Stegostoma tigrinum: one gene and its partners. The protein of the gene in region 3 purifies or fractionates together with the protein of the main gene of each other region. This does not show direct contact. Links are inferred from orthologs where the notes say so. Each region holds a gene or a part of one and is shown on either strand. Other genes may lie near its edges. The genes, in order: nup37, nup133 and nup85.

Evidence for each region.
Region 1: the proteins of nup85 (region 3) and nup37 purify together in Homo sapiens (affinity purification with western blotting; 4 studies listed by BioGRID and IntAct, with this or other methods). This does not show direct contact. The link is inferred for Stegostoma tigrinum from reciprocal best matches to the Homo sapiens genes NUP85 and NUP37.
Region 2: the proteins of nup85 (region 3) and nup133 purify together in Homo sapiens (affinity purification with mass spectrometry; 5 studies listed by BioGRID and IntAct, with this or other methods). This does not show direct contact. The link is inferred for Stegostoma tigrinum from reciprocal best matches to the Homo sapiens genes NUP85 and NUP133.

The regions. Positions count from the first base shown.
Region 1 is NC_081371.1:60,076,243-60,086,743, reverse strand, and holds the start of nup37 (nucleoporin Nup37), read left to right. Parts: upstream 1-6,387; 5' UTR 6,388-6,493; coding exon 6,494-6,655; intron 6,656-10,501. UniProt on the Homo sapiens protein: Component of the Nup107-160 subcomplex of the nuclear pore complex (NPC). The Nup107-160 subcomplex is required for the assembly of a functional NPC.
Region 2 is NC_081362.1:765,973-776,392, reverse strand, and holds the start of nup133 (nuclear pore complex protein Nup133), read left to right. Parts: upstream 1-5,757; 5' UTR 5,758-5,814; coding exon 5,815-5,975; intron 5,976-10,104; coding exon 10,105-10,223; intron 10,224-10,420. Other genes in the region: abcb10 (ATP-binding cassette sub-family B member 10, mitochondrial), read left to right, coding at 1,850-2,105. UniProt on the Homo sapiens protein: Involved in poly(A)+ RNA transport. Involved in nephrogenesis.
Region 3 is NC_081375.1:37,003,641-37,014,695, forward strand, and holds the start of nup85 (nuclear pore complex protein Nup85), read left to right. Parts: upstream 1-5,784; 5' UTR 5,785-5,849; coding exon 5,850-5,888; intron 5,889-5,937; exon of another isoform or gene 5,938-6,037; intron 6,038-6,075; exon of another isoform or gene 6,076-6,216; intron 6,217-6,649; coding exon 6,650-6,740; intron 6,741-7,201; exon of another isoform or gene 7,202-7,330; intron 7,331-8,424; coding exon 8,425-8,608; exon of another isoform or gene 8,609-8,625; coding exon of another isoform or gene 8,626-8,643; intron 8,644-10,325; coding exon 10,326-10,402; intron 10,403-11,055. UniProt on the Homo sapiens protein: Essential component of the nuclear pore complex (NPC) that seems to be required for NPC assembly and maintenance. As part of the NPC Nup107-160 subcomplex plays a role in RNA export and in tethering NUP96/Nup98 and NUP153 to the nucleus.

The DNA of each region.
Region 1 (10,501 bases), on a different chromosome or scaffold from region 3:
TAAGCTGAAGATATTAAGTAACTGATGCACACAAGATCAGTTAAATTCTCCTTTTCTTCAGCATAAAGTAAAAAACACTATTACACAACACTAGCTTAACTCCAGTTGCATTGGTCACAGTCGATTAGTCTGAAGCCACAGACATAATAGGAATTAATGCAACCCTTGCAGAAAGTTCAAGTTAAATTCCAGCCTTGTAATACTGTACATTGCTGGCAGACATCCCATGGTGTCAAACCTAGTTGGATAGTAAACCAACAAAATGCAAACAGGGAAAGAGTTCTGCAAAGCAAGTGTGACATTTGCCAGAAGTTAATTCTAATAAAAACTTGATCATATGGAATGAGACTACAGCATAGAGGGAGGAGACTATTGAGCATCATGCATTGCCTGGCAATTTTGAAAGGGCAATCCACTAAGTCTTACACTGCTAGTTGTCCTTTTGGTTTGTGCATCCCTTCAGAACATTTGTTGAATCTGTAGTGCATAGGATATCAAGCTAGAAACCAAGATGTCACAATTCATGATCCAGAGATGAGATGAGAGTTCAGATTCCAACACAGCCAAATAATACTGCCAATTTAATTAATTCAATGTGGGGTGTGGGCTACTGTCCTACTACTTTTAATTAGTATCTTTATTGATAAAAGGATGCATTTTTAAAATGCTATTCTCATTGACTAATAGATTTCTAGACTCCCATCTGAGTCACTAATGTTCTTAGAGAAGGAAGCCTGGTATCCTTAATCCAACCTATGTGACTCCAGACCAAAAGCAATGCGATTGACTATTTGTGCACTCTGAAATGATTGCAGTCCAAAGTGAATTTATGACCACTCGAATACTCTGATGGCCAGATCCTGCAAACGAACAGTGTTTTAGTTAATCTCTGCTATCCAGCATGGTCAATTATAGGACAATTCCATCCTCTTCTCAGTCAGCTTTCATCAAATCATCCTGTCAATGCCATATTAAGTGAACAAAGGGACAAAAGACATTGAAGTTAAAGAACTGAGCCAAGTTTGGCACTAGGAACCTATTTTCCTACCAGAGAGTCAGCTCATAAATGCTGCAGCATTTATATAACACTAGAGATCACAGCAAAACATTCCTGGCGACCCTCCTTGAACCACAGCAGTCAGTCAATGTCATTATAGCACTGGATGTGAGTTTGCTCACTGAGCTGGAAGGCTAGTTTTCAGATGTTTTGTCACCATTCTAGGTAACAGTGAGCCTCCAATGAAGCACTGGTGTTATGTCCCACTATTTATCTGTTTAGGTTTCCTTGGGTTGGTGATGTCATTTCCTGTTTTATCCCCAAGAGGATGGTAGATTGGCTCCAAATCAATGTGTTTGTTGATGGAGCTCTGGTTGGAATGTCATGCTTCTAGGAATTCTCGTGCATGTCTGTTTGGCTTGTCCTAGGATGGATGTGTTGTCCCATTTTTCCATCACCACCCTTGTCCGCTTTCTGGAGGGACCAAGAAAATGGGACTACACATCCATCCTAGGACAAGCCAAACAGACACATGAGAATTCCTAGAAGGATGGCATTCCAACCAGAACTCCATCAACAAACACATTGGCTCCAAGTCAATCTACCATCCTCTTGGGATAAAACAGGAAATGACATCACCAACCCAAGGAAACCTAAACAGATAAATAGAAAGTGGGACATAACACCAGCACTGATGTCACCATTCTGGGTAACAAAACATCTGAAAACTTACCTTCCAGCTCAGTGAGCAAACTCACATCCAGAGCCTCAACCAGAGTTACAAATCTTAACATTATGGCACTTCCAGAGAAGTTTAGGAAATTACCTCTAGGATCCTGCATGGGAATGTCACTGAACCTTGTAGAATATAGAGAGGTCTGAATAGAGTAGACATTTCCAAGAGTAGAGACTAGGACCTCAGGGACAGTTTCAGAGCAAAGGGCCAACCCTTTAGAACTGAGATGAGGAGGAGTTCCTTCAGCCTGGAGGTAGCAACTCATGAAACTCATTCCCGCAGAAGACTGGAGGCCAAATTATCAGGTGCCTTTAAGCCAAGATCTTGATTAGTAAGGTGGTCAATGGTTACAGGGAGAAGGCAGGAGATTGGGACTGAGAAACACAAGTTAGGATCAAAGGCAGAGCAGATGCAATGGACTGAATGGCCTAATTCTGCAACTATATCTTATTGTCACTATGCAGTATGAGACCAGTTTAAAGCATGTCCAAGGGAAATGGCATATGATTTGGCAGAGTTTGGATAAATGGGAAACTATAAAGGCCAGTGCTACTTCAATCCATCCCTTGGAGTGATTAAAGGACAGCAGAATGCCTGGCCAGATGTCTAGTCCCAGTCTCCACCCTTTTGCATTTTATTAAAAAAAATTAAATCTAACCATTTCCATATACACCATTCCTGGAGACATTTTATCAATTTTGTAATTTGGTCACTAAAGTGACTTATCCACAAAATAGAGCAGGATTGAAGTAGATTCAATAGCTTTCAAAAAAGTTTAGATTATATACCAGCACCAACCCACAGTAGCAAATCAACAAGGCCCTGCTACACTCTCCAAAACTCATGACCTCAACTATTTAGAACATCAGCAACAGATGCTTGGGGAAACCCTTGCCTGTAAATCAGAATTTTACATCATGGGATTGTCTTCCAGCCAGTCATCAGGCATCTAATCCCTTGTGTTCTACTTCAAACTACATGCCACCTTCTATTATCACCCTCCATTCTGCATGGCTGGGTCAAAATTCTAGATATCCACAGCATGCGTAACCACAGCTCTAAGGCAGCATCTCAGTGCTTGAAGTAGTTCTGAAGGGCTGGCCCAGCCACTGACTAGTCATTTTCAGTGACTGGGAGCAGGAAGAGTGGCACTAAATTGATAAACAGAGAGCTTGTACTAAGCTAAAAGTATCAGTGCCCTCTTTTGAGCAGCACAGCTGCTAACTGTGCCAGGGTCCCAGGTTCAATTCTAGCCTCAGGTGACTCTCTGTATGGAGTTTGTACATTGTCCCTGTGTCTGTGCAGGTTTCCTCCCATAGCCCAAAAGGTAGTGAATGAAACCTTTGAAGAGCAGGCGTGCATGCTGGAATGGATAGAGATAGACGAAGCTGATGTGCTGAAAATTTTGTCAAACATTAAGATTGACAAGTCGCTAGGCCCGGATCAGATTTCTCCTCGGCTGCTTTGGGAAGCGAGAAATGCAATTGCTTCGCCACTTGCGAAGATCTTTGCATCCTCGCTCTCCACGGGAGTCGTACCTGAGGACTGGAGAGAGGCAAATGTAATTCCTCTCTTCAAGAAAGGAAATAGGGAAATCCCCGGCAATTATAGACCGGTAAGTCTCACGTCTGTCGTCTGCAAGGTGTTAGAAAGGATTCTGAGGGATAAGACTTATGACCATCTGGAAGAGCATGGCTTGATCAAGTACAGTCAACACGGCTTTGAGAGGGGTAGGTCATGCCTTACAGTTTTTGGAGGATGTGACTAGAAAAGTTGATGAGGGTCAAGCTGTGGATGTGGTGTATATGGACTTCAGTAAGGCATTTGATAAGGTTCCCCATGGTAGGCTCATTCAGAAGGTCAGGAGGAATGGGATACAGGGGAACTTAGCTGCCTGGATACAGAATTGGCTGGCCAACAGAAGACAGCGAGTGATAGTAGAAGGAAAATATTCTGCCTGGAAGTCAGTGGTGAGTGGAGTTCCACAGGGCTCTGTCCTTGGGCCTCTACTGTTTGTAATTTTTATTACTGACTTGGACGAGGGGATTGAAGGATGGGTCAGCAAGTTTGCAGACGACAAAGGTCGGAGGTGTCATTGACAGTGTAGAGGGCGGTTGTAGGCTGCAGCGGGACATTGACAGGATGCAGAGATGGGCTGAGAGGTGGCAGATGGAGTTCAACCTGGATAAATGCGAGGTGATGCATTTTGGAAGGTCGAATTTGAAAGCTGAGTACAGGATTAAGGATAGGATTCTTGGCAGCGTGGAGGAACAGAGGGATCTTGGTGTGCAGATACATAGATCCCTTAAAATGGCCACCCAAGTGGACAGGGTTGTTAAGAAAGCATATGGTGTTTTGGCTTTCATTAACAGGGGGATTGAGTTTAAGAGTCGTGAGATCTTGTTGCAGCTCTATAAAACTTTGGTTAGACCGCACTTGGAATACTGCGTCCAGTTCTGGGTACCCTATTATAGGAAAGATGTGGATGCTTTGGAGAGGGTTCAGAGGAGGTTTACCAGGATGCTGCCTGGACTGGAGGGCTTATCTTATGAAGAGGGGTTGACTGAGCTTGGTCTCTTTTCATTGGAGAAGAGGAGGAGGAGAGGGGACCTAATTGAGGTATACAAGATAATGAGAGGCATAGATAGAGTTGATAGCCAGAGACTATTTCCCAGGGCAGAAATGGCTAGCACGAAGGGTCATAGTTTTAAGCTGGTTGGTGGAAAGTATAGAGGGGATGTCAGAGGCAGGTTCTTTACGCAGAGAGTTGAGAGAGCATGGAATGCGTTGCCAGCAGTTGTGGAAGCAAGGTCATTGGGGTCATTTAAGAGACTGCTGGACATGTATATGGTCACAGAAATTTGAGAGTGCATACATGAGGATCACTGGTCAGCACAACATTGTGGGCTGAAGGGCCTGTTCTGTGCTGTACTGTTCTATGTATACAGTTGGGGTAATTTGGCATGGCCAATCCACCTAAGTGTCCAGGGTTGTGTAAGGAGATATATCATACATAAGAGGCCATGTCACTAGCTTGGGGGGGTGGGGGGGGGGGGGGGGAGAAAACAAATCAGGTGGACTCAAAGCTTACACAGTTTCAGGCTGTAGGAACACAGCAAGTCAAGCAGAGGAGCAAGAAAGTCAACTTCTTGGGTCAGGGTCCTCCATCAGGTTCCTAGATGGATTTGGAGTTCAGAACTTAATGGCAACCAATAACTAAAGGGTCAGCAACAGTTTTTCTCCCCACCCCCAATTAAAACCCACCCAAGACTGAATTTATTCCATTAAAACTTCTCCAGGTTATTACAAACAGCCTGAGAAAGTAACCATATAACCTCAGACAGTACATTCTAAATCCACAACCACTTCCACCCAGAAGGGCAAGGGCATCAGATACATGGGCCTGGGTCAAATGCTGACAAACAGGACTAGGTTTAGGATATTTGGACAGAATGTACAAGTTGGACTGATGGGTCTATTTCTATTTTATATAAATTTGACTATGACTCAGGGCAGCATGGTGGCTCAGAGGTTAGCACTGCTGCCTCAGAGCACCAAGGGCCTAGTTCAATTCCACTCTCAGGCAGTGTGTTGAGTTGACACATTTTTCCCCCCCATGTTTGCATGGGTTTCCATGCACTCCAGTTTCCTCCCACTATCCAAAGTGTTGCAGGCTAGGTGGATTGGCCACACTAAATAGCACATATAGTGTTCAGGGATGTGGGTTATAGGAAGAATGAGTGGGATGCTGAGAGTGTGGGTGGGGATTTGTTGGGCCAAAAGGGCCTGTTTGCACACTGAACAAAGTTTCTATATGAACACCACCACTAAGTCACTCACCAGCCTGACTTGGAAATATCATTGTTCCTTCTTTGTCACTAGGTCAAAAATGCTGGAATGCCCTCCCAGAGGGTCAACCCCCTGTTGTATTCAATGCTTTGACTAAAAGGCAAGCATAGAAGTGTGGTTGACTCTTAACTCTTAAATGCCCCCAGCAGTTCAAGAAGGCAAAAATCACCCCCACCTTCTCAAAGGGCAACTAGGGATGGGCAAGAAATGCTGGCCAGCAGTGCCCACATTCCACAAGTGAATAGAAAAAACCTTCATGTTATGCACTAACCAATACCTTTCCCGCGAGACACAAAAAAAAACACCCGTCAGTATCAGTAGTGTTTAAAAATACTTCATTCAGCATATATAGGCAGACAAGTTCTCGGTTCAATACACTGGAATTCTCGTAATAAGGAGGCAAACGCGAGCATTTTGCTATTGTCTCCAGCTCAATAGCATGGTTCAGGCAATTTGAGGCTCGCCGTTGAAAGCGAGCGACTCCTCAGTTCTTGTACTCACCAACTGTCACTTGCGCAGACCAGCTCCCAATCTCCAACGACAGTGCCCAAGCTCTCACTGGCTCTGTCTCACTCACCAACCAGCCCTGCCTGAAGTCAGCACTAACACAACGCCTCACTCTACATCCCTCTCTTCCCAACTTAAGGGTAAAGATAGATCCCACACGGACTTTTCACCCACACCCAACTCCAGGCCAATTTAAAAGTCCCGGGCCGGAGCAGCTGTAACCAATCAGAGCGTTGCCGTTACAATGTTGCACTTTCCTCCCGGAAGCGAAGCGGAGGCAGCCAATCAGCGACGAGGGGTTGTGTCTGAACGTTCCATTGAGGGTTTTCCTGGCGAGTCTGAGCTTTCCATCGGGGATTCCCTCCAATCTCCCCGGGTTCCGGGACTGGAAAGCGGAGACGACGATGATGGTGAACGAGGCGGCATCGCGGGGCGCCACGCACACGGTGCCAACCGACGAGACAGTGCACGTGGTGGAGTTTAACCCTTTCGAGGACTGCGGCACTGGCAGCCTGGTCGCCTACGGAGGCGACAACTACATCGTGGTGGGGAGCTGCCGCTTTCAGGTGGGCTGTCCTGGCAGGTTCTTTTCTGGGAACGTGTGACTGTTTTGGGGACAGGGAGGTGGTGAGGAAGGGATAAGGAAGAGAAGTAGGTCGGAACCCATCTAGTGCCACAGAAACAAAGCTGCACTGAAACATCTCTTTGAGGTATGCTCATCTTGAAGAAGATCTGCTCCTCTCTCCCACAGGATTTCCATTCTAATCTTTTTTCTTGTTTAGCTGTTGATTTTTCGAGGCCGACCTGTATTCATTTGTCTGCCCAAGTATGTTTTTTTCTCTCTGCCTGGGTTCCCTCTCCACGTATCGTTTACTTCTACCCCCACCCTATCTTCAGCATTTTTATAAACCTTTTCCTAGCTTAAAATCAATTCTGAAGATGGGCCAGTGAACGAGAAACGTTAATTCTGCGTTCTCCACAGATGCTGCCAGATCTGCTGAGTGTTTTTTCCCCCTCCATCAGTTTCTGATTTCCAGCATCCACAGTTCTTTGGGGTTTTTACCTTCAACTGAGTTTTGTGATGCTGTATGCAGAGCAAGGGCCACCGAACAACAATTGAGCTGATCAAAACATAGCGTGGGTGCAGTACTCCCTAGGCACCTTACAAGCAATGAATGGGTTTATTTTCATTTCCGGGATTTTCTGGATTTATTGGTCCTCCCTGGAACTGGGTGGCTTACAGAGGGCAGTTAAGAGCCAACCACATTTCTATGCTTGCCTTTATTAGTCAAAGCATTGAATACAACAACAGGGAGATTATGATGGTGCTGTACGTAAGATCAGGCCACAGCTGGAGTACTGTGTGCACCACCTTATAGGAAAGATGTGCTTGCACTAGAGAGGGTGTAGAGGGTATTCACCAAGATTTGCCTGGGCTGGAAGGATTCAGCTATAAAATCAGGCTGAACAAAAACAAAGTTGCTGGAAAAGCTCACCGGGTCTGGCAGCATCTGTGGAGGAGAAAACGTTTTGGGTCCGATGATCCTTCCTGAGAACTGATGGTGGCTGGGAAAATGTCAGTTTATTTGCAGAAAATGGGGAGGTAGGTGGGGTAGGGAGTAACCGATAAGATAGACCCCAAAGAGAGAGGAAGACAGTTGGACAGACAAAGGAGTTGCTGACGATCAGGCTGGGTGGGTGAATAGTTGCTAATGGGGATTGTTAGTGACTAACAACAGGGGGTGTGTAATGGCAGGCTATGTGGTAACAAGGCCTGGTGTGTGGGGTGGGGGGGTTGGGACATGGGGGAGTTTAGGCCCTAAAATTATTCAATCAATATTGAGTCTGGAGAGCTGTAGGGTCCCCAAGCAGAAAATGAGGTGTTGTTCCTCCAGCATGAGCTGGGCTTCACTGAAACACTGTAGCAAGCCGGAGACAGAGATGTTGGCCAGAGAGCAGGATGGTGCATTGAAGTGGCAGGCAACTTCAGGGTCTTTTTTGCGAGCAGAACATAGATGTTCTACAAAGCGGTCGCCAAGTCTGCGCTTCATTTCCCCACACTGGGGAGAGGAGACCACATTGTGAGCAGTGAGTGCAGTAGACTCGATTCTTGGAAGTGCAGGTGAAGTGTTACTTCACCCAAAAGGTATGTTTGGGCCCTTGGATACTGGGGAGGGAGGAGGTAAACGGGTAAGTGTTGCACCTTCGCTGGTGACAGGGGAAGGTGCCTTGGAAGTGTGGAGAGGTGTTGGGGGTGAAGGACGTGTGAATCAGGGTGTCCCAAGAGGGAATGGTCCCTGCAGAAGGCGGTCAAGGGAGGGGAGGGGAGGGGAATATGCTTCTGGTGGTGGCACCTGGCTGGAGGTGGCAGAAATGGCATCTGATGATCTTCTGGATGTGGATGCTGGTGGGATGGTAGGTGAGGATAAGGGGAACCCTATCGCTGTTGCGAGGGGGAACAGAAGGGGTGAGGACAGAAGTGCGGAGATAGGTCAGACTCGACTGAGGGCCCTGTCGACAATGGAGCTGGGGAATCCTCGGTCCTCTAGAAATCAGTTCCTCCATCTCCGTCGCATATGTTCAGATGAGGTGAACTTTCACAAGGGAGCCTCAGTTCTTCCGTCTCTGTCGCATATGTTCAGATGAGGCGCACTTTCACAAGGGAGCCTCTGAAATGTCCACATTCTTCCTCGCCCGAGGATTCCCCAGCTCCGTTGTCGACAGGGCCCTCAATTGGGTCTCACCCATCTCCCGCACTTCCGCCTCACCCCTTCTGTTCCCTCCCGCAACAGCGATAGGGTTCCCCAAATCCTCACTGATCACCCCACCAGCATCCACATCCAGATCATCAGACGCCATTTCTGCCACCTCCAAACACATATTCCCCTCCCCTCCCTTGTCAGCCTTCCGCAGGGACCATTCCCTCTGGGATTCCCTCATTCACACTAGCTTCACTCCCAACACCTCCCCACACTGCCACGGCACCTTCCCCTGTAACTGGCCAAGGTTCAACACCTGCATATTAACCTCCTCCCTCCCCAGTATCCAGGGGCCCAAACATACCTTCCAGGTGATGCAACACTTCACCTGCACTTCCCAGAATCTAGTCTACTGCACTGGCTGCTCACAATGTGGTCTCCTCTACATTGGGGAAACAAAGTGTAGACTTGGCGACCGCTTTGCAGAACATCTAGAACCTGCCTGCAAAAAAGACCCTGAACTACCTGATGCCTGCCAGTTCAATGCACCATCCTGCTCCCTGGTCTATGTCTCCGTCTCTGCTTGCTACATTGTTCTAGTGAAGCCCAGTGCAAGCTGGAGGAACAACACCTCATTTTCCGCTTGGGGACCCTACAGTCCTCTGGGCTCGATATTGAGTTGAATAATTTTAGGGCCTAAACTCTCCCATGTCCCAGCCCTCACCCACACACCAGGCCTTGTTACCACATAGCCTGCCATTACACACCCCCTGTTGTTAATCACTAACAGTGCCCATTTACAACTATTCACCCTCCCAGCCTGATTGTTAGCAACTTCTTGTCTGTCCCACTGTCTTTCTATCTCTTTGGGCTCTATCATATCGTTTACTCCCTACCCCACCCACCTCCCTATTTTTTGCATATAAACTGACATTTTCCCAGCCACTATCAATTCTGAGGAAGGATCACTGGACCCGAAATGTTAACTCTGTTTTCTTCTCCACTTGTGTTGCCAGACCCGCTGAGCTTTTTCAGCAACTTTATTTTTGTTCCTGATTTACAGCATCCGCAGTTCTTTTGGTTTTTGTTTTGGATAGGCTGAAGTTGTTTTCCTTAGAGCAGAGAAGGCTGGGGGTAACCTGATTGAGGTTACTTAAGGAGGCTTAGACAGGGTAGATAAGTGGAAATAGTTCCCTTTAATAGAAGCATCAATTACCAGGGCTCACAGTTTTAAGACAGGGAGGAGAATACTGAGATACAGGCTATTAGACTAGATGGCATTGAGGTTCACAAGGAGGAGGTGTTAGCAATTCTGGAATGTGTGAAAATAGATAAGTCCGCTGGGCTGGATGGGATGTATCCTAGGATTCTATGGGAAGCTAGGGAGGAGGTTGCAGAGCCCTTGGCTTTGATCTTGATGTTGTCATTACCTTCAGGAATAGTGCCAGAAGACTGGAGGATAGCAAATGTTGGCCCCTTGTTCAAGAAGGGAAGGAGGGACAATCCTGGTAATTACAGACCAGTGAGCCTTACTTCGGTTGTGGGTAAAGTGTTGGAGAGGATTATAAGAGATAAGATTTATAATCATCTAGAAAAGAATAATTTGATTAGGGATAGTCAACACAGTTTTGTGAAGGGTAGGTAATGCCTCACAAACCTTATTGAGTTCTTTGAGAAGGTGACCAAACAGGTGGATGAGGGTAAAGCGGTTGA
Region 2 (10,420 bases), on a different chromosome or scaffold from region 3:
TAACTGTGAGTGCCTTATTGTGAAAAGATTAATGTTGAGTAAAGAGGCTCCACCTCTGGAGCTGCTGGAATCTCTGGCAGTACCAGACCTGGGTAATGGGCACTACTGGAACTGGAATTGAGTCCCAAGAAGAAGGCTGAATGGAATCCTGGACCCAGGCTAGTAGGGGGCTGTGGGTTAAGAGGGATTGTCCCCCTTTTTGTAGTGTGTGCTGGGGGATGAGGGGCAAGTATTAAAGTATGTGTGGGCAGGACAGAAGGTAGATGGGTACTGTCTCTGGGCCACTGCCGCCAACACACGTCGAAATCCCTTATTACTGTAACCCTATTCCTGTCACACCTGTCATTTCTCTCTCCCTCTGATTGTTGGGAGGCCTGTAATACAATCCCAGCAAAATGATCGTCTGTATTGGTTTCTAAACTCTGCCCAGATGGCCTCATCAGCGTCTCTAATTTCCCACATATTGTAGGAGGAGCACTGCACAAAGCCAAGGTCTCTTGCCATTGTGAACCTTACCAGCAACAAACAATAAACTAGGAACAAAGTAATCAACCGTATCCACTACGCTGAAAATCTGATTTCTCTTTATCTGTCTTGCTCTATTCCGAACAAACTGCAGACCACAAAAATAAGGACTCCTAACACGCGGTCTCACTCTCTGTACTATCTACTCAGTCCCTGCAGCTGGTCCCCAAGCAGCCAGGGTTTTCACCCTGTATCACCTCAGCAGCTCTGCCCCTGGATTCTGTGTAGGTTCATTCCATTCCTGAGCTGCTGCTGCTCTGATTGAGTTTGATCTGTGCCCTGCCCTTCAAGCTTTTATCAGGAAACTCCACTGCCACCGTCCTACCCCCAGGTTCACTCTGGTTCAACTAATTATTTAAATAAATGTGTGGCTTATTAAAATGGGCCTAAATTTCAGGATTTGGGGAATGAAGTAAGCAGTTAAATCAGTGTTAATATATCCTATGCACCCTATCAGAAAGAATATATTTTTGGAAACTGTATGGTTTCAGTAACTTGACAGCAGTTTATTCGAAGTTAAATTTACTTTGATCTTGATCTCGAGTGAATTTAAATTTCATTTGGACCATAACAGTCAGATGATTCTGTGTAAAAGTATAATGTTCGTAGTCTGCAGGAGCTCCTCCACCCTCATTAATCATCACTGTTCCCATCGTGGAAGGTGTAACTCTTGTCCTCTCATTACCTGTCTCCTCACTTTCCACAGCTCCAAACACACCCTCCGGATGAAGCAACATTATACTACTTTCAATCTAGTCCACTGCATTCATTGCTCACAATGCGATGGTCTTTATATTGGCGTGTTCCCTTTTCTGTCCTGGTCCTTCTACCATGTTTTAACAAAGCTCCATGCAAACTGGAGGGACAACACCTCATTTTCTGCTTAGCACCTAACAACCTTTAAAACTCAACATTGTGTTTAAGAACATCAGAGGATGGCTTCTGTTATTTTTTGACTGTGACTGTGCCCTATTTGTGGCTAATTTGCTTCACTCTCAACAGTGTGGACCCATGTTCTCCTTACTGCATCTGTCATTTCCAGCTGTTCTAAAGCTTGCTACTTTACCACCTAATTTCTGTCTATTGGTCTAGGCACCATCATCATCTGTTCCATTCACACTATTACCCCCTCTGTCAGATGCATTTAAAAAAAAAACAAAATTTTCCACTCCTCTCAATTCAGAAGTTATGCAATTTCAGCTCTGTTAATTTGTCCATAGATGCTGCAGACCCGTATTTTTCCAGCATTTTCTGATTTTATTTTGATTAATTTGATTTTTGTTTTGTCTTATTCATTTTGCTGTTACATTTCTTCTCTCTAAAGTGCACTGGATTCGGAGAATGAGTATTTGGTGCAGGAAGCTTTGGACCGATTGATGGTAGGAAGGACTGTGCTGATCATTGCCCATCGTCTATCAACCATCCAGAATGCTGATGCTGTTGCAGTCCTTGACCAGGGCAGGATAGTTGAGTGTGGTACCCACCAGCAACTCCTCTCAAATTCAGATGGATTATTTCGCAAGCTTGTGGAGAAACAAACTATTTCACAAAACCACCAAAAACTTGTGTTGAAAGTATAATGCTCCCAAATGTTACTCCTCTTAGGAAAAAAAATACCTCCAGGTCAAAACAGCCGAGAAATGCCTTGGATTCTGACTAATCGCAGCACTGATTATTAAATAGGTTATGAAACTTGTAATTCTGAACAGTGTTCAGGATCTCAGCTGTAGCAATGAAGTAAATGGTGAAAGATATCAAATGTGAGCCACAGAATGAGGAAGCCTGCGTCACAATCTATACAGTTTCTCCATGGCCTTGTTGGACAAGTCTTCAGCGTGAGGTCTCATACAAGGAAAGGTTGACAGTGACTCTGGGAAAGATAAAAGCAGATTTTTAAATTGCCAAAGCTTCTCTTTGCCACAGTTTTAAAAACATTTTTAATCTATTTTGGGAACCATCTTTTAAGGACGGAGTAGTCTCACATTTGTTCTGTAACTTTCTGCAGATGGTACAAGGGATACTAAATTCCTTTGCGATAATGAAGTAAAACACTTGAAATAGTTGGTGAAACTCACCATTGTACAGACTGTATTTTGTGAAATGTTTGATTAATAGATGAAGTGTGATTGAACAATCAATCCTGAGTGGTTATAAATATGAATTTAATTGCTTCACAAAAGTTTGACCCTTGAGAATCTGTAGTATCAATTTTACAGTAAAATTAAAACAATCAATTTCTGACCTATTTTAAATTGAGTCTTTGTTTACTTCTCATAACAAAAGAAATTTGCTGGAAAACTTAGATGTGGCACCAGCTGTGGTGAGAGAGCATAGTGAACATTTCAGGTCCAGTGAAACTTCAGAAGTATAGTTTCCCATGCTGAAGACAACAGGGATGCAGCTTCTGAAACATGGCTCTGGTGAATGAGAATGGGAATCAGGTCGACTGAGCAAAGGACCAAAGAATTTACAGAAAAATTGGAGCCCAGCATCTTGAGAGCTTTCAGCTGAAATGAAGAAGTGAAATTAGGAAAAGCAGCATGACGATGTATTGTTAGCGACAGAAGATGAAAAAGCAGGAAAGAATCAGGTTGGAGAAGTACTAGACAGATTAACAACATCAGAAATTGAAAGGAGGGAGAAATAACAGTGTCATATGCAATGCTGCAAACATGTGGAAACTTACCTACTTGTGTCCTGTACCCACAAAGCAAGACAAATCCAACTTATTCGTCTACTTGCATCAGTGAAATGATCAAAGGTGTCATCAATTGTGCTTTCAAGCAGCATCTGTTGAGGACCACTTAGTTGAGTTCTGCCAGAGCCATTCTGCTCGTAACCTCATTTGGCCATATTTGAATCAAAGGCTATAAAGAGCTGAATTCCAGAGGAGTGATAAGAGTGACAGCCCTTGATATCAAGGCCACATTCAACCAAGTGTGGCATCAATTAAATTGAATAGAATTAAATTAGCCTTGTTGTCATATGTACTTAAAATGAACAGTAAAAAGTTTATAAATCACTACTTACAGCACCACCTTTAGATACAATCCTTAGTTATAGAGTAGAAAAAGAAAGAAAAAATGTTACATTACAGCTATACATAGTACGACCATGGTCAGAAAAATAAGAAACACCGTTAAAAAGACAAACATCACAGTCTCTCCACAGCATTCCAGTGCAGGGGGCTTCCACACTCCACACTGGGCCACTGGTCCCTGCTGTAGCCACTAGGAGCCCCAGGCAAACTGGAATCAATGCATGTTGGGGCCAAACTTTCCACTGACTGGAGTCATACTGGGCATGTAGAAAGGTGGTTGTGGTTGTTGAAGTTAAGTCATCTCAGCTTGAGGGTCCTCAGGGTAGTGTACTATATCCACCCATCTTCAGCTGGTTCAATAATCTTCTCCATCATAATGTCAGAAGTGGGGATGTTTGTTAATGTTTGTAGTATTAAGATACTGAAGCAGTCCATGTTCAAACACATCAAGAGCTGGCAAGTAACCTTTGTGCCAGGCAATAACCATCACCAGTAAGAGACAATCTAACCATCGTCACTTGACATTCCAACAGTATTACAATCACTAAATCTCTCACTATCAACATCCTGGGGGTCATTGATCAGAACCTCAACTGGACAAGCCACATAAACCCTGACTTGAAAGCCGGTCACAGGTAAAGAAAACAAAACCTGGAACTTAAAAACCTACTGATCGACATGAAATCATTGTCGAATGTTGGGGAAAAACCTGTCTGGTTTACTTATGTCCATTAGCAAAGAAAATCTGCCACCTCCTGATCTGGCCTACAGCAATGTGGTTGACTCTCAGTTGCCCTCTGAAATGGCTTACCAAGCCATTCTGTTGCACCATTCACTACAAAGTCTCAAAGAAACAAAACCAGACAGATCACCTAGCATCAATCTAGGCATCGGAAAAGACAACACCAGAGACAGCCCTGTTGACCCTGTAAAGTCCTCCTCACTAACATCTGGGGGTTAGTGCCAAAATTGGGAAAGCTGTCTCACAAACTAGTCAAGCAACAGCTTGACATTGTCTGTAAGATATGATTCTGTGAGTATGACTACATCCCGGATACCACCATCACCATCCCTGTATATGTCCTGTCTCATTGGCAGGGTAGACCCAGCAGAGGTGGGGGGCACAGTGGTATACAGGTGGGAGGGAGTAGCCCTGGGAGTCCTCAACCAGAGACACAGTTTAAAAATAAGAGGTAGGCCATTTAGAACAGAGTTGAGGAAAAACTTCACCCAGAGAGTGGTGGATATATGGAATGCTCTGCCGCAGAAGGCAGTGGAGGCCAAGTCTCTGGATACTTTCAAGAAAGAGATAGATAGAGCTCTTAAAGATAGTGGAATCAAGGGTTGTGGGGATAAGGCAGGAACAGGATACTGATTGTGGATGATCAGCAATGATCGTAATGAATGGTCTACTCCTGCACCTATTGTCTATAACAGTGACTGGTCCCCAAGAGGTGTCCTGGCTTTAGGTCAAACATGGGCAAGGAAACCTCCAGCTGATTACTCAGTAAGTCCATTAATATCTTCTCCAAGAGCTTACCTACCACTTACATCAGGCTCAGGGGCCTAATAATTCCTGGATTATCCCTGCTTCCTTTCTTAAACAAGGAGACAACATTGGCCAATGTCCGGTTTTCTCGCCATGGATGCTGTCTGACCCACTGTGATCTCCAGCATTTGTTGTTTACAGTTCAAGTGCCAGGATCTGCAGTAATTTGGTCCTATTTGTTATGCCATGGTCTGCTATTACACACTAGCCATTGATGGCAGTCAACAGAGCTATATATTCCCCTAGGCTGACTGTCTTCACCTTGGTCCGACCGCTCTCTCTCTCTCTCTCTCTGGGATAACAAGGGGCACAGCAGGTCAAACAGCATCACCGGCAGCTGTTGACCAATGGGAGCTTCCGTTACAACGGGTGTAAAGTTAGCACCAAGATAATAAAATGTGAGGCTGGATGAACTCTCTGATGAAGGGTCTAGGCCCGAAATGTCAGCTTTTGTGCTCCTGAGATGCTGCTTGGCCTGCTGTGTTCATCCAGCTTCACATTTTATTATCTTGGATTCTCCAGCATCTGCAGTTCCCATTATCTCTAAAGTTAGCACCAATCAGGAATGTGTTTATATCGTCCATGCCCCAATGTGACCAATCAGACTCTGCAGTGCCTGGCGGGTCACGCAGGCGCAGTGGTTTGGCGGCGAGTGCGGGAGGCCTGAGGCCTAAACGGCGGGGCCCGCGCTGTCTGCAGCATGTTTTCCCCGCGGGCTCCTGGTGGTGCCAAGCGGCCCCCCTCAAGTTGCTTTGGGTCGCCGCTGACCCGGAGCGGCGGCGGCTTTCCCGTGCAGGGCCGGCGCAGTGTGTCGGCCAGCGGCGTTTTCTCTCCGTCCTGGCGCTCCAGCCTGTGCGGCCGGTGAGTGTTGTCAGGGCTGCATTTGCCTGGCGCCTGTCACGTCCCTGGCACGGCAGGATCCCACAAAACACTGTGCGACACTAACCACCTTAATCAGGGGAGCGCGGTGCTGAAATGTTGTACAGGCTGAGTTATGGGGAAGTCTCTCGATGCTCCTGATGAGCACAGGTCTCACCAGCTTTGACTATCACCTGGTCACATCTGGACATGTTTTTAAATTCACCTCCTACCATAAAGTGAAGTGCAGTCAGGGGATGGGCGAAGGGGAGTCGCGGGGGCAGGCCTGTAATGAGGAAACCCCCAGGGCGTATCTCACACGCCAGCAGATTTTGTGCTAGAAAAGCATCAAAGTGATGCTACCCCTGCACAAGATAATAAAATGTGAGGCTGGATGAACACAGCAGGCCAAGCAGCATCTCAGGAGCACTGAGATGCTGCTTGGCCTGCTGTGTTCATCCAGCCTCACGTTTTATTATCTTGGAATCTCCAGCATCTGCAGTTCCCATTATCTCTACCCCTGCACAAGTCCAGGGCTGGGAGAACAGAAGGAAATGGGGCGGCACGGTGGCTCAGTGGTTAGCACTGCTGTATCACAGTGCCAGGGACCTGGGTTTGATTCCACCTTCGGGCAGCTGTCAGTGTGGAGTTTGCACGTTCTCTCCGTGTCTGCACCTCCGGGTGCTCCGGTTTCCTCCCACAATCCAAAGATGTGCAGGCTAGTTGGATTGGCCATGCTATATTGCCCATAGTGTTCAGGGATGTGGAGATTAGGGGGGTGGGTCAGTATGGACTTGTTGGGCCAAAAGGCCAGTTTTCACGCTAGGGATACTATGAAAGCAAGGGCAGTAGTGTTGAAGACTTAATAGAGAGCAATTTCTGTGGTTGTGACACTAGGATAGTGTGTCAGCTTCTTGAGGACAGGGTCAAGGATGTCACTGAACAGCTTCAGGGCCTTTAGGGGTGTACAATAAGGTTATGGTTCATAGATAACACTAATGCTGAGCTGCAGGAACACAGGAAGTCAGGCAGCATCAGAGGAGCAGGCCTTCTCTATCTCCACAGTGTGTTATCTCTGACTCCAGCATCGGCAGCTCTTTCTACTTCTGAGGTTGTGGTTCATATTGATGCCAGGGACATGGGTAGGAAGAAGGATGCAATCTTGCAACAATATTTTCAGGTAAAAGATGAGTGGGTAGAAGCAAGGTGGTAATGTTGCAGTATTGATCAAGGAGTCACTTTTTGAGGTTTTTTGTTCTTTTACAGAAGGATGATTTCTTAGTTCTTTAATTGAGGCCTTATGGGTAGAATTAAAAAACAGCAGCAATCATAAGAACTAGGAGCAGGAGTGGGCCATCTGGCCCCTCGAGCCTGCCCTGCCATTTAATAAGATCATGGCTGATCTTTTTGAGACTCAGCTCCACTTACCTGCCCACTCACCATAACCCTTAATTCCTTTACTGTCCAAAAATTTAGCTAGCCTTGCCTTAAAAACATTCAGCAAGGTAGCTTCAATCACCTGATGGAAGTGTACGAGAGGACCCTTTAATAATTAGGCAAAGGTAGAAGTAATTTCAGAGATGTGCAGAAATAATAGAGGTGATGATCATTGGGATTTCAACTTTTCCAATATTAAATATTTGAGTACAAGAGTCGGCAGGTCATGTTGCAGTTGTATAGGACTTTGGTTCGGCCACATTTGGAATACTGCGTACAGTTCTGGTTGCCACGTTACCAAAAGGATGTGGATGCTTTGGAGAGGTTCCAGAGGAGGTTCACCAGGATGTTGCCTCGTATGGAGGGTGCTAGCTATGAAGAGAGGTTGAGTAGATTAGGATTATTTTCATGAGAAAGACAGAGATTGAGGGGGGACCTGATTGAGGTCTACAAAATTATGAGAGGTATAGACAGGGTGGGTAGCAAGAAGCTTCCTCTCCCCCCCCCCCCCCCCCCCCCCCCAGAGTGGGGGACTCAATTACTAGGGGTCATGAGTTCAAAGTGAGAGGAGGAAAGTTTAAGGGCGAAAAGCGTGGAAAGCTCTTTACACAGAGGGCGGTGGGAGCCTGGAACGTGTTGCCAGCGGAGGTGGTAGACGCAGACACGTTAGCGTCTTTTAAGATATACTTGGACAGGTACATGGATGGGCAGGGAGCAAATGGACACAGACCGTTAGAAAATAGATGACGGGTTAGACAGAGGATCTTGATCGGCGCAGGTTTGGAGGGCCGAAGGGCCTGTTCCTGTGTTGTAATTTTCTTTGTTCTTTGTTCTAAATGGTGTAGACAGAGTAAGAAAGATTTAGACAGGGCAGACCCACGTGAGATGTATCCTGGGCTGCTGTGGGAGGCAAAGGGGAAATTGCTGAAGTCCTGACTTTAATTTTCAGTCCTGTCTGGCCACGGGAATGGTGCTAGAGGACTGGAGTACAGCTAATGTGGTACAGTGGAGTGGTAGGGATAAACCAGGGAACTGTAGGTCAGTGAGCCTAACATCAGTGGTGGGACAGAGTTAATCTTCATTTGGAGAAGCAAGGAGTAATCAAGGAAAGCCAGCATCGTTTTGTCAGGTTGTGCTGTAGGAGTTTTTGAAAGTATGGTGAATGGAACTCAGTATTGGAAAGTGTAACACAGACAGGTAATCCTGGCTTTAATAAATTGGTATGATCCACATTTAGGATAATGCAACTATTCAAAGGAGCATTTGGAACTGTTGAGAAAATAGAGATTACACAGTGTGAAGCTGAACGAGCACAGCAAGCCAGAAATGTCAGCTTTCCTGCTCCTCTGATGTTGCCTGGCCTGCTGCATTCCTCTTGCTCCACGCTGTGTTATCTCAGACTCCAGCATTGGCAGTTCTTACTATCTCTGAGAAAATAGAGCGTTTGGATAATGTGCAACATTTATTTAAATCATGCATATTCTTTGGAAGATGTGAAATGAGAGGTGATTCACTTACTTAATCTAGTTGTAAATGGACTAGGTAATGTTTGTGCTAGTGGCTAAATTCAAAGCTAACCTCTTTACCTTCAAAGAGTAAGTGATCAGTTTATTGTGATGAGGGTTTATGCTAGATCAATTTTTGGAAACTTGGGTTCTGAAGTGAACAGATCCAAATGTAGCTTTAAGTTTGACTTGTACTTTCAGGAACGGAGAAAACATGGTTTTAGTTACAGTTTAGATTTTGAGTTCTGAGAGAGGTGCTGGGTTATTGATTATTTGTTTACAAGTGTTTATTTTAGGCTGTTTAAATATCCCTTGTAGTGAATAGTCCGTTAGAACACAAAGGGAGAAGAAACTACTCTTGCATAGTGACAGGAGTTTGGTACCGCAGAAAGATGTTGACCTAGGCACCAGAAACAGCAATGGCAAACACAACCCTTTTGATCCATAAATTCTTCCTTACCACCATCAGGAGAGATGTATCAAAATTTGGAAAGTTGTTCTGTAGATTAAATAAGCAACAATCTGACATAGTTGTACTGATGGAATCATACCTTTCAGATACCACTACCACCAGGAGAGGGATTCAGTTTTCCTCCTCAGCATATGTTAGCCACAGAGTTATGATGTAAAGTGACTGGTTTATTCAAAAAAATGTTCAGGTGTCATGCAGATTAACAGCTTCAAGCACAGAATGTGGACTTTTGTTGACTTCATACATTTTCAAATACTTTGTATTGTTCACATGACAATTTGTTTCAATGTACTGGCAAAGTTGAATTCTATCATTCTGGCACCAGTATTGCAAACTTGGTTTTTCTTTAGAATTTGAATAACGTTATCTTAGTTTCGCAAATGAAATTTAGTTTCCTTTCTCACTCAATAGTTTGATATCTCTGTGTTTGACCTCTCTGGTATTCCCTAATCTCTGTTTATATTACAGTGAGATTACACAGATGCTGTTTACTATTGGACTCATCTGAAGTTTACTAGAAAAAAAAGTTAGCCGTTCTGAGCTCTGTGTTCCTTTGGCCCTGTGAAATTAGTATTTTTTTCTTGTAGAACATTTGCTATTGTTTCTGACTGATTTGCTAAATTTGAACGGTAAGAATATACTTAGGCCAAGTATGACTGCATTTGTTTCAAGTATAGTAATGGAGAACTTTGACTGGAATTATTTTTTCTTCCTCAAGTCCAACTCCAACCAGAGGAGCACAGTATCAAACAGTTGGCGAGACGCTCAACTATGAAATCAGGAGTTTTGGATCTTCTCTTCCTGTTAAGGTTATGGAGGCCATAACCCTAGCTGAAGGTAACTTTGTTTTATTATGGTGTATAAATAATTGATTTTGGAGCTTTTGAATCACTAAGTGTAATGTTTCCTGTACTCACTGAGGCAGTAAAGTTTGCTTTTCACCTTAAGTGTAAAAAGTTTAAATTTTGTTTTATTACTTTTGAAGTGTTTACAGGAATACTGGACTATCCACTGAACTCCTGCAAAGTTTCACA
Region 3 (11,055 bases):
TCCCAGCCGGTTGGTAGATGGACCGGGAAAGGGGCGGGGTCCAAGAACGCGTTCCCGCCGGGAGGGACACGTGACCGCGAAGCGCCGGTTCTGAATACGTCAGTGGGTGCGCGTGCATGGACGGTTGGAAGAATGGCGGAGGGGCTTTGGGTCAGAGGGGGGTGGAGGGGATAGTGGCACTGGGTGAAGGAAAGGTGAAACGAGAAGAAGCAGGAGGGGCGGGCGGGAAGCGTGACAAAGTGGAGGCTCGAAGGATGGGGTTTGGAGGTGAATAAGGCAATTCCTTTTACCCCCCCCCCCCCGTTATTTTACAGGGAATTATCACTCTTTTCATGGATTTTGTGTGTTGTCATTCTCAAACCTGAAGCATGTAGAACTCTCAAATTCCTTCTATCCTTACTATTTAGAGGATCGAGGTAACATTATAGCCAATGCACTCCAAACAAGATGGATTGCATTCAGAACAGCGCAACTGACTGCATTTGTGCTTTAACTTCCATTACTAAGCTAAAGCTTCTTGAGATCAGTGCAGTTCCCTTTGCTTGATGAGTATTGCAAAAACCTAGTTGTTCTGAATTGTTGATGATGGTTATAGCTGCATCTAAAACACCCTGTTGTTCGGTCTCTGGGCATTCTTGGGATTTGTTCTTCTGTACAGTTCCCAATTCCGGTAATCTTTCAAAACTGCCAAGGGTGACGCTATCATATTATAAAAATCAAACATTACAGATTGAAGATCTGAAATAACAGAAAATGCAGGAGACAGCAGATCTGGCAGCATCCATTGAGATAGAAGATGATTTAATTCTCAAGTCTGATGTAACTTATTCAGAAAAGAGGAACAGGCATATCAGACTTGAAACATTAAGTCTGGTGAGTGTCTCTCTCATCACTACTTTTGACTATGAATCTCTGTTTCAAACTGACTATTGCACCCCATATCCCCACGAATGGTCTTTAAGTGTCATTACCATGACCAATGTCAAAATCATGCATTTTTGCATATCACTGATTGTCCTATTTGTACCATGAAAGCTGCTGAAAATGAATGCCTTCCCAAGAATATATTGGCTTCCAATTCAGGTTTCAAAATTGAAATTTTAAAAATTTTGAAATTTTAAATGCCGTCAATATCAGGTGACTTTCCATGATCGATACCTCGGTACAATCCAAAAATTTAAAGATGTGATTTGATTTATTATCATGTGTACCCAAGTACAGTGAAAAGCTTTGTTTGGACAGGTTGATCATAGGGTGTATCTGTAAAAGTTAGTGAGAGTCCTTATGGACATACCAAAAGCACTGCAAGTAGAGTTATTGCAATTTTGCATCTAAGACATAGGAGCAGGATTTGTCTATTCAGCCCCTCGGGACTATTCTGCTATTCTATAAGATCCTGACTGATTTTCCCCAGACCTCAACTATTTTTCATGTCAGTTCCTCAGAGTCCTCAACTGTTCTATATTTCAAAAATCTGTCTCTCTCCTCCTTAAATATATCAAGTGACCTAGTGTGAACAATTCTTTCGGGTAATGTCAGACATTCTTCCTACCAAAGTTTTTGTCCACTAACTCATCTACATCCCTTGAAAATTCCTTATGACTCAATTACACCATGCCTCCTATTTTTGTATCGTCAGTAAATTTGGATACATTCCTTTTTGCTTCTTCATTAACATAGATAATAAACAATTACAGCCCTAGGACTTTGCGCGCTCATCCAAATGCTCCTTAAGTGTTTTGAGGGTTACTACCTTTTCCATCCTTTTAGGCAGTGGGTTCCAGATATCCATTATCCTCTTTCTTTTACCCCTTAAATGTCTCTAAACTTCTTGTCGTAAAATTATGTCCCTGGTTACTAACCGCTTTACTAAGGGGAAACATTTCTCTCTATCTAATTTTTCACAACTTTGTACAGCTCAATCAGCTCCCCTCAGCTTTCTCTGCTGCAAAGAAAACAAAGCAGCTTGTGCTCCTGAGATGCTGCTTGGCCTGCTGTGTTCATCCAGCCTCACATTTTATTATCTTGGAATCTCCAGCATCTGCAGTTCCCATTATCTCTGAGCCTATCTAATGTTTCTTTTCATAGCTGAATTACTCCAGCCTAGGCAATGTCCTAGTGGATCTCCTTTGCACCTCTCTCATGATCTAACGTAATATACAGCTCCATTTAAACTTCTTGCACCTGTATTTAATCCCTTGACTAATAATGGCAATTATCTTACAGCTACCTTATCCTGCTGAATCTATGGATATGCACACCAAGGTTCCTCTGTATATTCTGGAGTCCTACCATTTAACGTTTATTCCCTTGCCTTATTAGTCTTTACAAAATACATCACACTTTTCAAGAAAAAATTCCATTTGCTACCATTTAGCTCATCTGACTGGCCCAGCAAAATAGTCTAGTAGTGTAAGGCTTTCCTTCTTGTTATTTACCACACCATCAATTTTCTTGTCATCTCTGATACTACAGATCTTACCTCCTAGACTCATGTCTAGATCATCAATAGTAAGAATCCAGCATGGAGCCATTTGGCATAACACTGGACACAGACTTCCAGTAACAAAAATCCCATAGAATCATATAGTTACAGTGCAAAAGGAGGCTATTCATCCCCCCATGCCTGCACCAGCTCTTCAAATTAGCATCACTGCCTTGCACCAACCTCTTGCGTTTTCCCTATATTCTGGCACACTATTTCCATCCAAATAATCATCCAATGACCTCTTGAATGTCTCAACCTAACTTACCTTCACCAGATTTCCACGCAATGAATGCATCCCATATCCCAACTACGCACTGTGTGAAAAATGTTTTTCTCACATCACCCTGTTTCTTTTACATATCTATGACCTCAGTTTTATTAATGTGAATGACTTCTCAGTGCCTAATCTATGTGACTGCTCAAGATTTTGAAAACTTCGATCAAATCTTAATCAGCCTTTTTATCTGGAAGGAGAAACAGTCCCAACTTCAAACTATTGGCAGCACAGTGGCTCAGTGGTTAGTGCTGCTGCAATGCAGTGCCAGGGGCCCGCATTTGATTCCAGCCTTGGGTCACTGTATGTTTGGAGTTTGCACATTCTCCCCAAGGTTGCCTGAGTTTCCTCTGGGTGCTCTAGTTTCCTCCTGCAATCCAAAAATGTGCAGGTTAGGTCCATTGACCATGCTAAATTGCCCTTAGTTCAGGGATCTGTAAGGTAGGTGGATTAGCCATGGGATATGCAGGGATAGGGTACGGTGGTGGGTTTGGATGGGATGTTCTTTGGAGGGTCACTGTCGACTCAATAGACTGAATGGCCTGCTTCCACGCTGTAGGGTTTATATTATTCTTTCTGTCCTCATTACTGAAATTTTTCATTCCTAGATCCATTCATTTAAATTTGCATCAGCAGTCTCTCCAATGCATACACATCTTTCCTAACTGTACACAATATTCCAGCTAAGGTCTAACAAATGTCGTAAGTGTGAGTTCAACATCACCGTTCAACTATCACCCCCCCAGACTTCCTGCCATTGTCAATTCCGGATCCAATTTCCAAAACTGCCCCCGATCCCATGAGCTCTTAAGCCATGAGCAAACCCCATGAACAAATTAACCAATTTGCCAAGTGAGACTTTGTCAAAGATCTTACCGAAGTCTGTGTAGACTATATAAACTGCACTACCCTCATCTACATGTTGCTAGCTTGGTCAATTGTGGTGCTACCAAGGCAGCCTGTTAATGGACGTTCAGTCCTTGGGCAGGGATCATCTGTGCCCTTCCTATCCTCAATGCTTCCACCAAGTCATATTCAACACATTAGAGCACAGGTTTGCTCAACTGAGGGAAGGTAGTAGGTGTTCATCGGCAGGAGGTTTCCTTGCCCATTTGACCAGATGCCTGAGACTCTCAGAGCCACTTCTCCCAACTGTATGCAAAGGTAAATTGCTACAAAGTAAACTTTCTTTCCTTATTCTTCCTGACTCTTCTGCAGCCGTTGACATAGTGGACCATATTATCCTCTCTTGAGGGGAGGCAATGGCCTAGTGGTATTATTGCTGAACTGTTAATCCAGAAACCCAGATAACATTCTGGGGCCTGGGTTCAAATCCTGTTTTGGCAGATGGTGGAATGTGAATTTAATAAAATATCTAGAATTAAGAATCTAATGACAATCATGAATCAATTGTCAGGGAAAAGCCCATCTGGTTCACTAATGTCCTTTCGGGAAGGAGACTGCCATCCTTACCTGGTCTGGCCTACATGTGACTCCAGGCCCACAACAATGTGGTTGACTCTGAACTGCCCCCGGGCAAGAAATGCTGCCAAGCCAGTGATGCCCTCATCCCATTAATGAATAAAAAAACTCTTCTTGCCTGTCATCCAGCTGGATGAGATTACTGTCACCTACTTGTGTTTTTATATATCTAAACACGGTTAAAAATCACATGTTCTCTTCTTGGTCTCACACTGTTACTTCTGGAGTCCCCTCAGAAATCGTTTCTCAGCTTTCTCCTATTTCTCATTTACATTATGCCCCTCAGTGATTACAACATTTGTTTTCATGTGTACATGCCACCCAAATCCACTTCGTCATTCTTGACTCCTCCACTGTTGTTAATCTATGAGACATTTATCACCTGATATGTGCATAGCTGTGCAGAATTTTTTTTCCAATATTGGGAAGATTGCAGCCGTCATTTTTGGTTTCTGCTTTAAACTTTGTTCCCTGGCTAGACCCCTTCCCTCTTCCTGGCTGCAACTTGAGATTAAGAACCTTGGTGTTAAATTTCACTTTGAGATGAGTTTATGTTCTCATAGATCTGTGCCATCACTAAGACAACTTATTAGTATGGAGATAGTAGGAACTGCTGATGCTCTGAGATTACAGAATGCAGAGCTGGATGAACACAGCAGGCCCAGCAGCATCAGAGAAGCAAGAAAGCTGACGTTTTCTGGAGAAGGTCCAGATCTGAAACGTCAGCTTTCCTGCTCCTCTGACACTACCTGGCCTGCTGTGTTCATCCAGCTCTACACTTTGTTATCTCTACTTATTAATATCATCTTTTTCAGCTCAGTTGTTATGGAAACCATTCATGCTCCCTGTTTACTTCTAGACTTGACCATTTATAAGCAATACTGGTTGTTCTCCAACATTGTTGCCTCTTTTGAGTTCAGGTTAAACCTAAGTCTTGACTCACACCAAGTTACACACCATCTCCTGGTTGTTGATCGACGTTGTCTACCACACCAGCAATGTCTTGATTTCAAAATTTTCAACCTTACTATCAAGTCCTTCCACCACCTCCAAATAATGTCATCTTCGATTCTGGTCCCTTGTGTGACGGTGACTGGATCTTAATTTCTGGAATATCTTCCCTCATCCCACCTACCTTATTTTCCTTCTTTAGGTTGCTCATTAAATAGTTTCTCTGATACAAGCTTTTGGTTTGTTTTAATATCTCTTAATGTGTCAAATATTGTTTTATGATGTTCCAGTGAAAAGTTCGTTTCATTACATTGAAGACGCTAAGATACAACTGACTCTGTGGGTTTGCTCCATCAGTGGAACAGGACAGACTCGCTAAAGGTGATTTCGGAATCTGGGCTATTAGCTGTTTTTCATCTTGGTCCAGTCTGTAGCACTGACCACGTTTTATCTGATGTTCGTTAATGCTGGGAAACTAGCGGAATTTTCTTCAACCGTCGCCGCTTGACAACATTTAGATCAGGCCCAGCATTTGTTGAAACCGCGTGTTTGTGGTTCAGTGGTGGATACAATCAGCTGATCAGGCAACTAAGAGGCCGCCCCAGTGATGGGGTCCTTGATGAGCGGGCGGCGCGGCGTGACCAAGGGAGCGCGATGGAGGATTCACTTCAGGAATATGAGCCGATCCCAATGGTGAGGGTGAGGGAGACGAAGAGGTGGGATTCGACAGAGGAAGAAAGTTTTTTTCCGATCGTCCATTAGACAGTGCCAGGAAGAGTGTCTCCGGAGCAGTTGTTGTACAATCGGATGGTTGTTCCCGTGTGACCCGGGACCGCAGCCTGGTAGAACATTTTTAGAGAGGGAGACCTACTCTTAAACAGAACCTCGAAACACCCCAAACTCTTTTGAGGTCCGCGGAGTATTTTCTTTGCGAAACTGCAGGGAAAATTGAGAAAGTAGAAATGGCCGAGGTTCTTTACAGAGGCAACGCGGACTGGTGGGCCAATTAATCTCCTGTGGTGTAACTATTCGTTGATTATCCTTTTCTACAACATGTTCGACACTTCAAAAATACTTAATCGGTTGTAAGCCAAATTGGGATGTTCGAGGATATGCTACTAAAATGCACGTCGGCCTTCCCTTTCGAAGTGCTGTTGCTGATGTCATGCGACGCCCAAATTGCTCACAGTTAGAACCTACACACATGAACATAACCAGATGTTCCGGTCTTAGTGATGCTGGTTGAACAAATGTTGGGTAGAATGTTGAAGTGAATTTACCTGCTATCTTTCAGTCACGTTCAAGGGTATTTTTGTATTCACCTGATGAGGACAGACATTTCTTTTGAAAATCAATGTCTGACAGATCAGCGGTTCTTCGGAGAGACAGTAAAATATTTCTCCAACAACAGAGTTTCAAATAAATAATTTTCTCTCTGTTGTTGTTGTTCCTAGGATATTCCAGGAGTGGATGTTGGAGAGTTCATCGGGTTTGAATGGGGCCCTACTCAAATGTTGCTGTATCCGACACGGCATGATCAGACAGGTACTGTGATTTTCTGATTATTTATTTTTAAACAACCTTAAGTAATTTAGAATAATGAGAAATTGCTCTTGTCCCAATCATTTTAACCTGACAAATTTTGGCATCGGATTTTAAAGCCTAAATGGAGATACTTCTGCGTACACTCCAACACGTGATAAAAGTAAGTAAGGATAAGAAGTTGACAAAGAACCAAAAGCAACGTGACATAATATGTATTGTTGTGACTTGAAATGAACTGCCTGAAAAAAGTGATGAAAATGGGTTCAATCATAATATTTAGAAATATGGAAGTTGATGGAAGATTAGAGAAATGGAATTAATTGGATGGCTATATTAAGGCAAAATGGGAGTAAAAACCATTTTTGTGTACAATATCATTGCATTATTCGGTCCTGGCACAGTTCACTCCAATCTATTTGCAAATATCATACATTTACATTTTTCCATTTCGTTGACATGAGAATGAATCGTTTGGAATAAAAATTTCATTGACTGAACCAAAAGGAAAAGAATGGAAATAATGTAAAATGAATGGAAGATCCATATCTATCAGACCCTGCATAGGGAGCAGGATAGAGAAATAGCTTAAGGTAAGCATTAAGCCCATGTGTTACAGTACAGACTTTTTTTGGGAGCGTGGTTGGTTCACCATGGTATTGGGGGTACTCCAGTTGCATGAGACTTGACTGCTTTGAAAGTTAGTGTCAAAAAGGCATCACAGGATTTGAATGTCATTAAAGTGTGAAGTACCATAGGATGTGTATGCAGAATTAGGCCGTCCAGCCCATCAAGTCTGCTCTGCCATTCGATCATGGCTGATATGCTTCTAAATCTTCTCCTGCTTCTCCCCACAAGCCTCGATCTCCTTAACAATCAAGAACCTATCTATCTCTGCCTTAAATAAATCCAATGACTTGGCCTCCACAGCCCTCTGTGCCGTTGAGTTTCAGAATCACCACCCTCTGGCTGAAGAAATTCTTTTTCACCTCCGTTCTAAAGGGTCATCCGAGGCTGTGCCCCAGGTCCTAGTCTCTCCTGCTAGTGGAAAGATCTTCTTCACATGCACTCTATCTAGGCCCCTCATTATCTTGTGACTTTCAGTGAGTTCTCCCCAAGGCCTTCTAAACTCCATTTGAGTGCAGATTCAGAGTACTTGACCACTCTTCGTACAACAAACCCTTCCTCCCATGCTCGTTCTTGTAAGCCTCCTCTGAGCCCCCTCCAATGCCAGCACATCGTTTTTTAGATACTGGGCTCATGAATTACTTTGCTGAAGGGAATAGCTGAGACAAATAGCGTCACAAAATGTTTAAATAATTAAAAAGAAAGATACTGCTTTGGGGATAGAGTCAATCAGTGGGACTGATTTGGATAAAAAAGTGCACGGTGGTATGTGGTAAACTGGTGAATAATATTGGATTATTCTGATTAAGTGCAGTGATATAAAAGATGGACTGTGAATATTTTGGAAACTGGTCGCTCCCTGGTTGAGATCAACTAAGAAAATAGATTTGGAATCAAATGTTAAATTTTTCAGACTCATGGCTTAGTGCTGTGATATGTTGTGGTTTCATTCACTAGGTCCTTACGAGAGCCATTTCTAATTGTTCTGACTAATCAAATGTAGCTGAAAAGCATTATTGTCTGGTATGCTTTATGCAGACCATACATTTGCATTTCCCAGCCCTCCTTTCTGTTCATACCCCAGAGACTGCACCAGACAGCTCCCCAAGAATGCCCTCCATTCAAGTTGTCTACAGCGACAAAGATATATACTCACCAATTCTGTGTAAACTTTTCAACGAGTCACATGGCATCTTCATGACTCTTCAGAAATCCAAACACGATTGCACAACCCAGAGAGCAGAGTGAGTAGAAACGGACTTCAAGATTTTCTTTTACTCTGAAATATAACACATGGCTTACTATCTTCAGGTATTTTGCTTGTTGCAAAAAACTAATACGAATTAACTGGGATAATAAAATGTGAGGCTGGATGAACACAGCAGGCCAAGCAGCATCTCAGGAGCACAAAAGCTGACGTTTCGGGCCTAGACCCTTCATCAGAGAGGGGGATGGGGAGAGGGAACTGGAATAAATAGGGAGAGAGGGGGAGGCGGACCGAAGATGGAGAGTAAAGAAGATAGGTGGAGAGAGTGTAGGTGGGGAGGTAGGGAGGGGATTAATTGGAACTGGTTCTCCTTTGCAGTATCTGTTAGTGGGTATAAGAAACACAGGCTTGTATTTGTAGTGTACTTTCACAAGCTTCTTTGCATCTCAAAAGCAAAGTAGATCATTATGAAGTGTGGCGACTGTGCAGTAGGAAATTGTGAAGGCTAGTATGAGAGGCTGACAAGATCCTTTGTAGATCTGTAATTGTCTTCTCAGGCCAGCTAATGGAAAATGGCAATAAAATGCCTGAAGTAAATTAAACACTAAGGAGGAAAACTGAAGTGTGAGACAAATCCTATGGGTTCTTTAAAAATATTTTGAGCATTGACTAGACTCCTCTCAACATACACATAAACACACACACCACAGTGAATAAAGTAATTGAAAAATTGTAAATGTAACAATAGTAAGTATACTATAAATATGAAATAAAATGGAATATTTTGAACATTTTGGCATGTTTCAGTTACATAATGAGAAAACTATAAATGATCTCTGTGCAATAGAAGAATGAAAGAGAGAAAGTCATAATTACAAATTCATCAAGGTAATGAGAGTTGTGGGAATATTAATTTTATTAGTCAATGATTGAGAACTGAGTCACAATTTGAATTGAAAGGGGCAGTGTGAATTTGACAGTGATGGGACGTGTCTAACTGATTTATTGAATTTCTTGAGGTAATCAATAACAATTGCTTGTGCATGTTGTCTTTCTGGACTTTGGCTTGATAAATTTCCACGGAATTCTTAATCAAATTGTACGCACACAGAATTATGAAGGTACCGTAACCTTGTAAATTGGGAGTTAGGAGACAGAGTCGAGATAGAAGGCCTTCTGATTGACAAGATGTGACTTGATGTTCTGTAAGGATTTACATGTGTGTTTTTGCTTCACAAATATCACTGAAGGAATAGAGAGTTGGATATGGAAGTTTGCAAATGACTCCTTTTCGTGATTCAGGAAGTAGTACACATGAATGAAGGGAAATACCAAAGGACATTGATTATATAAATAGCACTTATGAGGTGTTCTGAAGTCATTCACTTTGAACCCAAGAAAGATGAACTGGCATATTTAAAACTTGTGGAAGTTGTAAAATGTGGATGAACAGAGGATGCAGTCCTATTACTTGAGTCCAGTTCCACATGTTGATTCTTTCTTGATGTTATTGTAAATGTGCCTTTCATTTAGTTTTATTTTTGATCCTTAATCATAATGTTACTGATTATTCTGGATTTGAGTATCAGATTTACTCTCTTCTGTGCTTTTTTTTGTATCATGTATGTATGTATGTATGTATGAAGTCTTTGTAAACCCTGAAATGCTCCAGCCAGTGTTGACATTCCATCGAATGTTGATGGTTGTGTTGTCAAGTTTTATTTCAATGTAGTAACAGATGCTTTTTGTTGTAGGTTAGTTTCTATCAGCAGGAACTATCGTTCAGTGATAAGAGCTTATCTGGAGGAACTGCATAGCGCCGCAAAATCTGGTAAGTTGCAAATTACGATGTGAGGATTTTACTCTACAACATTAGAGATTCAGAAAGGAATATAACTTCCTTCTTCCGTTTCTTGTGTTTTTAAAATTGATTAAAAAGTTGCTTCATTTTCTTTCTTGAGTAAGCCTCATGGAAGGCGCCGTTCTATAAGTGACCTGCTTGTGCCTGATCACCAGATTCGCAGTACTTCCGTAATAGATCAGTGAGTTTATCCAGGGAACAACTGGCACTCTGTGTGACTGAGTGGTTAGAAGAAAGGGGTAGGAATTTATCCAGCGGGTACTTGAACCATGCACACTAGAAAACCCTCTAATTTGTTCTGAGTTAACTAATTGCTAGTGGCTGGGGATATGCAGTCTGGGAGTCTATAGTTGGTCTTGATGACCTTGAATTAGAGAATCCAGCTTCTTTTCGCTGTTGAATGATTGAGAGCATGTGCATTTGCTATTTAAAACATTTAGGAGAGGTGCCTTTTTCAAGTTTTCATGTTGTTCACTTACATTAGGTGCTCCATCCCCATTTATACTGAAAGCAACCACCCTCATTTATGAAGAAAGAACCACAACAACAAGGAAATATGACCCAGATCTGAACTGATTAGAGGTCTGAAAATCTACTCTTTGTCAGTAGTGGACTTTAGTAAT